Nothobranchius furzeri: one gene and its partner. The protein of the gene in region 1 binds, or shares a complex with, the protein of each later gene. Links are inferred from orthologs where the notes say so. Each region holds a gene or a part of one and is shown on either strand. Other genes may lie near its edges. The genes, in order: prpf4 and lsm3.

Region 1 (3,823 bases):
AGTCCCCACAAGCTCATCTTTGATGATACCAGCCCAAACCAGTACTCCACCTCCACCTTGCTGGTGTCTGAGTCGGACTGGAGCTCTCTTCCCTTTACCAATCCAGCCACGGGCCCATCCATCTGGCCCATCAAGACTCATTTCATCAGTCCATAAAACCTTGCATGCCGGACACCCACTCATGCTCCCCATACACACCCTATTCACTCTGGTCCCGGTACTGCTGCACATAGGGTACAACCATCACCGGTTACCAGAGTTTGACCCTTTCTGCTGGGGTGCTGATGAGCAGGCTCCCCCGCCCAATGCTGAGCACAGCAACCCACCACCCCAGACCCCAACCAGACGGCCAGATCTCCCTCCTAGCCTCCAGCCCCAGGAAGCCAAGTGACAACAGAGGTGTGCTAAGACCCCTAGTCTCCCTCCGCCTGCTCCAATATGGTTTTAGTGAGTGTTGATGAGGTGTATTCCATGGCTGTGGTGAGCGGGCAGTGCGGGCATCATCTGGCCTATGCCAGCTGATGCCACCACCACCTCACTTGCACCCACAGCCCTTAGTGTCTAAGTGCAGTTTAAAATTGGAAGTGGGCACCGGCACTCGGGATGAGGCCAAGAAATCCCCCTGCCAAATGCTGTTGAATGTGCTCACTCCCAAGGCCCTAAGTGTGTGTTTGCGTGGAATGTCGTCGGTGGAAGTGTTTAAGGTGCAAATAAAATTAAGGGGCAGGTTGCCACAGGAATGTGGAAATGGGGTCCATACCTGCACTCCCTGACTTGTCCACCCCTCAAGGTCCTATGTGCATGTTTGTGTGATGATGTGAGGGAGCAGGAGGAGAGAAATGTGTGGGGATGGGGAGGCCCCTAGATAACTTTAACCTTCAATAACTTCAAAAACCGTGGTCAGAATAGCATTAAACTTGGTCTGTGTCATGACACCACCAGTGTGGTAAATATAGAGTATCCCCTAGTGGTGAGATGTGTAATTTATTGGTGGGCTCAGAGGAGATGCTGAGTCAGGGTGAAGTGCAGACGAGGAGACCGTTCGCAGTTTCTGATGTTGGGGTCAACGTTTCTGTTCCGCGGATGTGCCCGGGTACACCGGGCCGCAGAGCTGCGAGGGCCGAACGACGCTGCTTGCAGCTTTAATTACTTTTTGTTCTTGTGAAGCGCCTTGTGATTTTTATCTTGAGAGGTGCAATGTAAAAGACTAATTCTTCTTCTTCTACTACATACAAGTGTCATTAATTATAAAAAAAGGTTTTGCTTAAATCACGACTTTTCTCGTTATTTTGTTTAGGAGAGACTCTGGAGATGGAAGAGCGGGTCAGTGAGCGGCAGCAGGAGGTGCTTGCAGAGTTTGAGCGGCGCAGACGAGCACGGCAGATCACTGTGTCCACCGATGACACCGAAGTTAAGGCCGGCCTCCGAGCACTAGGCGAGCCAATTACATTGTTTGGAGAGGGACCAGCTGACCGTCGCGAGAGGTGGGACAAATAACATTTGTGCATTTGTTTGATAATCTGACTGTTTCGTGGTCAGCTTACACTCAGCCAATCAAATTGTTTGTTTACAAGCTGATTTGAGTCTTATGTTGTTTTAGACTGCGCAGTGTTCTGTCCATTGTTGGACCTGATGCGCTAAAAAAGTCCAGGAAGGATGAAGAGAGAGTCAAAAGGTCACATGATGAGGTAAGCAGTTATACAAGTACTATGTAGTACCTTTCAGTACTTTGTCTCTCCCACATTTTCAGACCATTCACCTGTTTTATGTGATTGAATTTTGCCTTGCCCTCCTCCTGTGGCTGATGTTGGCATGCTTTAAATGCAGAAAGAGTTAAGAGTTTGTTGAGCTTTTAACTTTAGAGGAAGAGAGGTTGAACTCAATGTCTCTCAACGCTGAGGACTTTAATTTTGATTCCATCAGCAGGAATATTTTGGATATAGGTGTGTGTGTGTGCGTGTGGGTGTGTGTGTCCCAAGTCTAGGAAACCTAGACAAAGAAGGGAGCCTTGGCTCTGTGAGACCACTCAGGCATGTAGGTCTGAATGTAGGACTGCAGAAAGATGGCGAAAAAAGGATCATCTTCAGTATTCGAGCATTATTTTTAGAACTTCCCTGATGAGACATTTCAGCCTGGATTTAGGGCTGGACACAGCACTGAGTCTGCACTGTTGATGGTAGGGCTGGGCGATATGGCCTAAAATCAATATCACGATATATTGAGGATTTCACCTTGATAACGATAAATGGACGATAACCACAGGTATGCACAGAAACAACAGTTGTCCACTAGATGGGGCTGTTGCATGTATTACGTTAAGTCACATTTTTATGTGACTCAAGGTAGGGCTGGGCGATATGAACCAAAACTTATATCTCAATATATTTTTGATGAATTCCGATATACGATATATATCGATATTTTTTTCTCCTGTAAAACATTTACAAGTTAACTCTCTTCAAGCTGTCTTGAGAAATTATACATAAATCAGTATATTAAATGCATAAAAATGTATTTATTCTTGTCAAACTTTAACCTTAGCGCCTATTCTCTGGTACAGCTGTCTGTTAGAATACACACACCCACACACATGCCTGAAACCGCATTTCTTCTTGGTAGATTTTATGCGTAGCGATCTTTAATTCATATCAAAAGTATTTTTTTACATTTTAGGGTTTGCGTACCTGTTTGCAGAATTTTCTTGAATTTCTTTTAATACCATATCAAATTTATTAATAAAATCATTTAATAACAGCATGGCAGCCGACCAAAGTGCTGTACAAATTAAAACACAGTACACATATCAATAAAGACATAATCAACAATAAAACCACAAAAAAGCATAAAACATAGTCTGTAATAAAACACATTGCAACAATTATAGTTCATGGGTGTTGAAATGCCAGATCATAAAAGTAGGCTTTAAGTGATGAGTTAACATCAGTGAGGGACGGCGCCAGTCGCACGAGCGTTCCAGAGGGTTGGTGCAGCAAACACAAAAGCATGTCTCATAGAGGGAACACAAAGCAACAGACAGTCAGCCGACCTGCACATAATCAACCAGGTCTGCTAGTTAAGCTAGCGCTCATGGCTTTGAAAACGAAGGTTAAAATCTTAAACTTCATGGGGAAAAACTAAGATCTGACCACAGCATTAATCTGGTAGGCCATTGAAAGGTCAGAGCCCAATTTGACCCCAAGGCTGGTCACAAACTGCTTCATGTCATAGCTGAGAGCAGCCAAAGCAGAGAGCAAGTGTGAAGCTTTGAAGATCCATGAGACTTTCCTCAGATTTTCACTAATTTGGGTTTAGAAAATTGTCAGATAGTCAGCTCTTCACCTTTGTCAGGCATTGGCTGTGAGAGCATTTGGGTTGTTTAAGGTCAGGTAGATCTGACAATCATCTGCATACAAATGATAGCTTAGGCCAGGGGTGTCAACTCATTTTAGCTCAGGGGCTACACTGAGGAAAATCTAGTCCCAAGTGGGCCGGACCGGTAAATTAAAAACAACTTTAGATTGTTTTCTTTGTTTTAATACAATCGATATAAAACATAGCTGGAGCCCGAGGACAGTGTATCCAAAGTAGTACAAGTACAACATCACTATTAATAAACCACCTGATGTGTACTTGAACATTAGAAAAACATTTTTTTTTAATAAACATTCCTTAGTGATTCAAAGAGCTTTCAGATCACATGGCTAGATCAGTTTCATGGTAAATGGCCTGTATTTGATATAGCGCCTTCTAGAGTCCTGGAACCCCTCAAGGCACTTTACAACAAAACCAGTCATTCACCCATTCACACACACATTCACACACT
Region 2 (4,573 bases), on another chromosome or scaffold:
GCCTGCATGAAACACTCAGAGTGACCCATTAGGATCAGAAATATTCATTAAAAAATATTTTCAGTCTTCTACACTTTTAATGTGAAATACCTGTAGGCTTTAGCCTCTACGACTCTGTATGCCAAAAACTGTTGAATAAAAAAAAATTAAATAAAAAGTATAACTTTCTTATTTTCACTTTTTATTCAACCACATAAAAACAAAATTTTCAAACCTGAGCATGACTAAATCATAAAACACTAACGTCATGTAAAAGAAAAAGAATGTTCTGGGACTCAAATGCAATCATTTAGCTAAAAATCAACATAAAAGTTGAGCAATTTAACAAACATTTCGCTCACAAGGGGACCCGAGTCTTTATAAACACTGGAATGACTCAATCGGAACTGATAAGATTCAGAAAAATGTTTTTCTACTAAAAATAATAGTATCTACTGAGGCCGATTCTTACAATCCCAGAATGTGTCAAAAAATAAAAAAAAGTGTCCTCACATCATACTTCCTGGGTTTTTCCCCCCTCAGACATTTTGCCCTAGAGAAGAGCCTCTGATTCACATGAAATTTAAAGATGAAATAACAGTCTAGCATAAGGAAAATGAAGATTTATAACACTCTCCTACAAAAATGGACACTTCCCAGAAGCAGTTACATCATCCTGTCAGGCATGGGGGGCTTAGCCGACTCGGAGAGGCGGAGCTACGAGGACAACGCCGTCTCCTCTGACAAACAACATGGGGATGTTCCTCTTGGTAGACTAAAGAAACAAATACAGTAAAAACATTTAAATAACAGATATTTTATTTAAATACTCACTAAAGTACCGTCAAATTTAAATAAAACTTGAGTTTCTGATCATGAACAATAATGAAACCTCGTAGAATCTTAAAATTCTGTTTTATTACTTTCTGCAGATCTATTCAGCGTTATGTTAAAGTGACAAGTTAACATCGTTTAACGTTTCTGCATCTGATGGATCTTTAAGCATCACCCAACAGTGGCACAAGTTTGCCACTAAGCAAACACAGCAAAGAGTCCAAAACAAAAGCTGTTCAGTAGAAATGTGGCTAGAGAGGTTTTTCTATGTTTGTTCATAAAAACTGACCTTATAAAGTTCTTCATACGTCTCCTCATCAATCTCCACTGTTGTCACCGTCTCCTCCACATCCCCCAGGATCATATTTAAGTGTTGGTCATACGCCTGGACCAGATGGCAAACATTAGTTAGGACATACAGGTGAAACTGGACAAAAGAGAATATGGTGCAAAAGTCCATTTATGACAGTAATCAAGCTCAGATGGAGAGACCATCTACAGGCTCAGGAACCCTCTGCAGGTGTTCTGGATTCATCAGCTGATAAAAGTCTGACACTAGAATATTTACCTGAACACAATATTCTAATTGTCTGAGATTATGAATGTGGGGTTTTCATCAGCTGAATGCCATAATCATCACAAATAAAGGCTGAAATATCTGGGTTTGCGTGGAATGAGTCTGTCTCATAGATTAGTTTCACCTTTTAAGTTGTTTTACTGACATTAGAATTTTCAGTCTTATTTTTTTTACCTGTTTTATCAGCAAGTATTGTGAAAAAACTGGATCTTCTGAACCGTGTGTGTGTGTGTGTGTGTGTGTGTGTGTCGTACATGTAGTCGACCGCGGAGCTCCCGGTCATTCCTCATCTTCACGTAGATCCGCTCATCCAGACTGAGCCTGATCAAATCGAGAGGCTCCTCCACCGTGTTGGTAGGTGGTTGCTGTGGAACACATTAAAATAATCATCAATGTACGGATTCCATTTTTTATTGGCATATTCATCAAATAGCAAACATTTAAAAACAAAACTAGTCGGTTTTTTTACACTCACCGGAAATGTTTTTAAAAATCTAGATTAAAAATATCCAATAGGGATGGACAATATATCGGCATCAATATCGGTATCGGCCGATGTTAGTCATTTTTAAACATATCGGTATTGGTCCCATAAATAAAACCGGGCCGATATTAATTTTTCTATCTCGTCTCCATTTGTTTATCAGTTTCAGAGGGTGAGGGGGGTGATGTGTATTTGTTTAATCATGTGACAGTGATTGTAATCACCTCAGAAGCGTAAATGTGTGTGTTGTGTGTACACAATAATGTAAATCCAGCTTTAATAATTTTCATTCTATATAAAATCTGCAGATTTTGGAAGCATTAATGTCAGTGTATATCGGTATCGGCAAATATCGGTTATCGGCCATAACAGTGATCTTAATATCGGATATCAGTATCGGTCCAAAAATTTATATCGATGCATCACTAATATCCAAACATTGTTTAGCTGAGTCTTTATATTGTTATTTATTCATTTTTGTTGTGTCTGTACAGCTTTGTTAAGGCTTGCCTTTAAAGACCAGGGCTTAGAAAACAAACCATCTGATAGGAAATGTAAAGAGAGTGTGCAGAAGTACTGATCAAACCAATTAAACGTCTCATGACTTATTAACACTATGGTATCTTTGTCACTAATATCTTTATTTTCAATTAAATTGCACATTACAGCTTAGAAATATTCATTTTAAATCATAAACTTTGATCCAAACAGTTTGTTGAGACTCGTTACTTACTAAAGTTAATAACTAAACACAATAGTTAAAGAAAACTCAATATTAATTATTTGTCCAATTTGCTAGACAAACATAACGGGAAAAGTCATTCATTAATCTTTCATTTGTGAGAATCTGGTAACTTTTACGCGCTTACTGATAATTTTAGGATGAGCTGAACGCTAGGTGAATGTGGGCTAACCGGTTTCACAGGCCTAAACACAATTAAACCGTGTTAGCAATTAGCAAAATGCTACGCTTGTATCCTTAGATTAAAGAAATGCATAAAGTTAATAATGCGCGACGAAGTCAAGCAACTGCACAGACGCTAAAACGAACAAAAGTGTATAAACACGGCAACCAAACGAACCTGCTCCACTTCATCCGCCATGATGCTTTAACTGGCCTAGTGCCTCAATGGGCTCTGAGGTCGCAGTCATATATACGTAGACGCCCCGTGGACGGCTGCCGTAGTGGCCGACCGCCATCTTAGTTGGGTCTCCATTCGCCCCCACTGCATTAATTTCTACTTAGGAAGGTGCTTAGCCAACTAAAAAACGCATTTTATCAAGCTTTTTCACAAAAGCTGATACAATATATGGCATGATAATTAAAATATAAATATAATTTAACAAAATAAATTAAAATATATTTAAATATAGAATTCCATGAGGTAGGCTTGTAAAGTTACTAGTAATCCCGCTTGATCTGTTTTCAAATTGTACGCCGGTTGTTGTAACTGTAGGCTGCACATAAACGGGCATAGACCTACAGGTCTCCCATTAGATGTTTAGAGTATCTTGATCTTGATGCTGTGAGGGTCGCTAGAACGGGCTATTTTGCTGACATCATTGATACAAACTGTAACAATTCAAAAATTCTCCATAAAACGCTTAACTCTGTCTCAGTGTACCAGGACTCTGGCATCATTTTTTCTACTGCTGCTGGAGAATGTGATGACTTTCACAACTTTTTCACTAGCAAAGTCTCTGCCATTAGAGCTGCTATTTTTGGTTCATCTACAGACCCTGATCCAGTTACTCCAATACAGTCCACCCTGAGCTATTTTAATACTCTCTTATTCTGAGTTGTCTAAGCTTGTCTCAGGGCAGAAGTCGTCTAGCTCTCCACTCGATGTTTTGCCACCTCGTCTGTGGAAGGAGGCCTTTCCGTGTTTGGGTCAGTCTCTGCGTCTGATCATTAACGGCAGCCTGAGCACTGGAGTGGTTCCAACTGCATTAAAAGCTGCAGTCAGTAAACCGATCCTGAAGAAACCAGAATCTGATGTCTCTGTGCAGACAATTACAGGCCAATCTCTATTCTCCTTTTCAATTTGAAACTTCTGGAGAAGGTTGTGTGTCAGCAGCTTTGCTGAGAGACTGGGTAGGCATATCAGGATCTGCTCTGAAGTGGTTCTCCTCTTATCTGTCTGAGGGTTAGGGTTAGGGTTAGGTGCTTCTCTGTGGCCGTCTCCAAGTTTGGGTCCTCCACCACCTCCCTCGCCCATGGTGTCCCACAAGGTTCTGTGCTGGGCGCTCTACTCTTCCTCCTCTATCTGCTCCCTCTTCAGCACATCCTGAGCTCCTTCAAAGAAATCTCCAACCATCTTATGCAGATGACATCCAACTGTACATCTCCTTTAAGCCCCATGAGATGTCGAAGTTGCAAGAACTTGGCAGTGCATTTCAGAATCACTTGTTTTTCTCCACTGATTTATTGCTTTTAACCATTCATTAGAAAATGTGTGCAGGTGCAGTTTGGGACACATGATTTATTTATTTATTTATTTTTATCCAAACCCTTATGTATGACTCATTGTCTGGTGACAGGACAGGAGCATGGAAACTGGTGGGCTGCTCTGCAAGCTCCATGCCCTTCTGGCTCAGTGATCTGAAGTTCAGCAGATTTCTATAAAAAAGTTCAACAGTGCTGTGAGAAAGTTAAGCATTGTAACGTGATGAAGGAGCTATTCCTCCAAGGTTATTTA

The links.
Region 2: prpf4 (region 1) and lsm3 share a complex: the UniProt entries of both Homo sapiens proteins name them as parts of the precatalytic spliceosome. The link is inferred for Nothobranchius furzeri from reciprocal best matches to the Homo sapiens genes PRPF4 and LSM3.

Annotation. Positions count from the first base shown.
Region 1 is NC_091746.1:69,549,226-69,553,048, reverse strand, and holds part of prpf4 (U4/U6 small nuclear ribonucleoprotein Prp4), read left to right. Parts: intron 1-1,297; coding exon 1,298-1,484; intron 1,485-1,600; coding exon 1,601-1,688; intron 1,689-3,823. UniProt on the Homo sapiens protein: Plays a role in pre-mRNA splicing as component of the U4/U6-U5 tri-snRNP complex that is involved in spliceosome assembly, and as component of the precatalytic spliceosome (spliceosome B complex).
Region 2 is NC_091743.1:73,197,322-73,201,894, forward strand, and holds lsm3 (U6 snRNA-associated Sm-like protein LSm3), read right to left. Parts: upstream 3,044-4,573; 5' UTR 2,978-3,043; coding exon 2,957-2,977; intron 1,756-2,956; coding exon 1,645-1,755; intron 1,199-1,644; coding exon 1,103-1,198; intron 755-1,102; coding exon 674-754; 3' UTR 165-673; downstream 1-164. UniProt on the Homo sapiens protein: Plays a role in pre-mRNA splicing as component of the U4/U6-U5 tri-snRNP complex that is involved in spliceosome assembly, and as component of the precatalytic spliceosome (spliceosome B complex).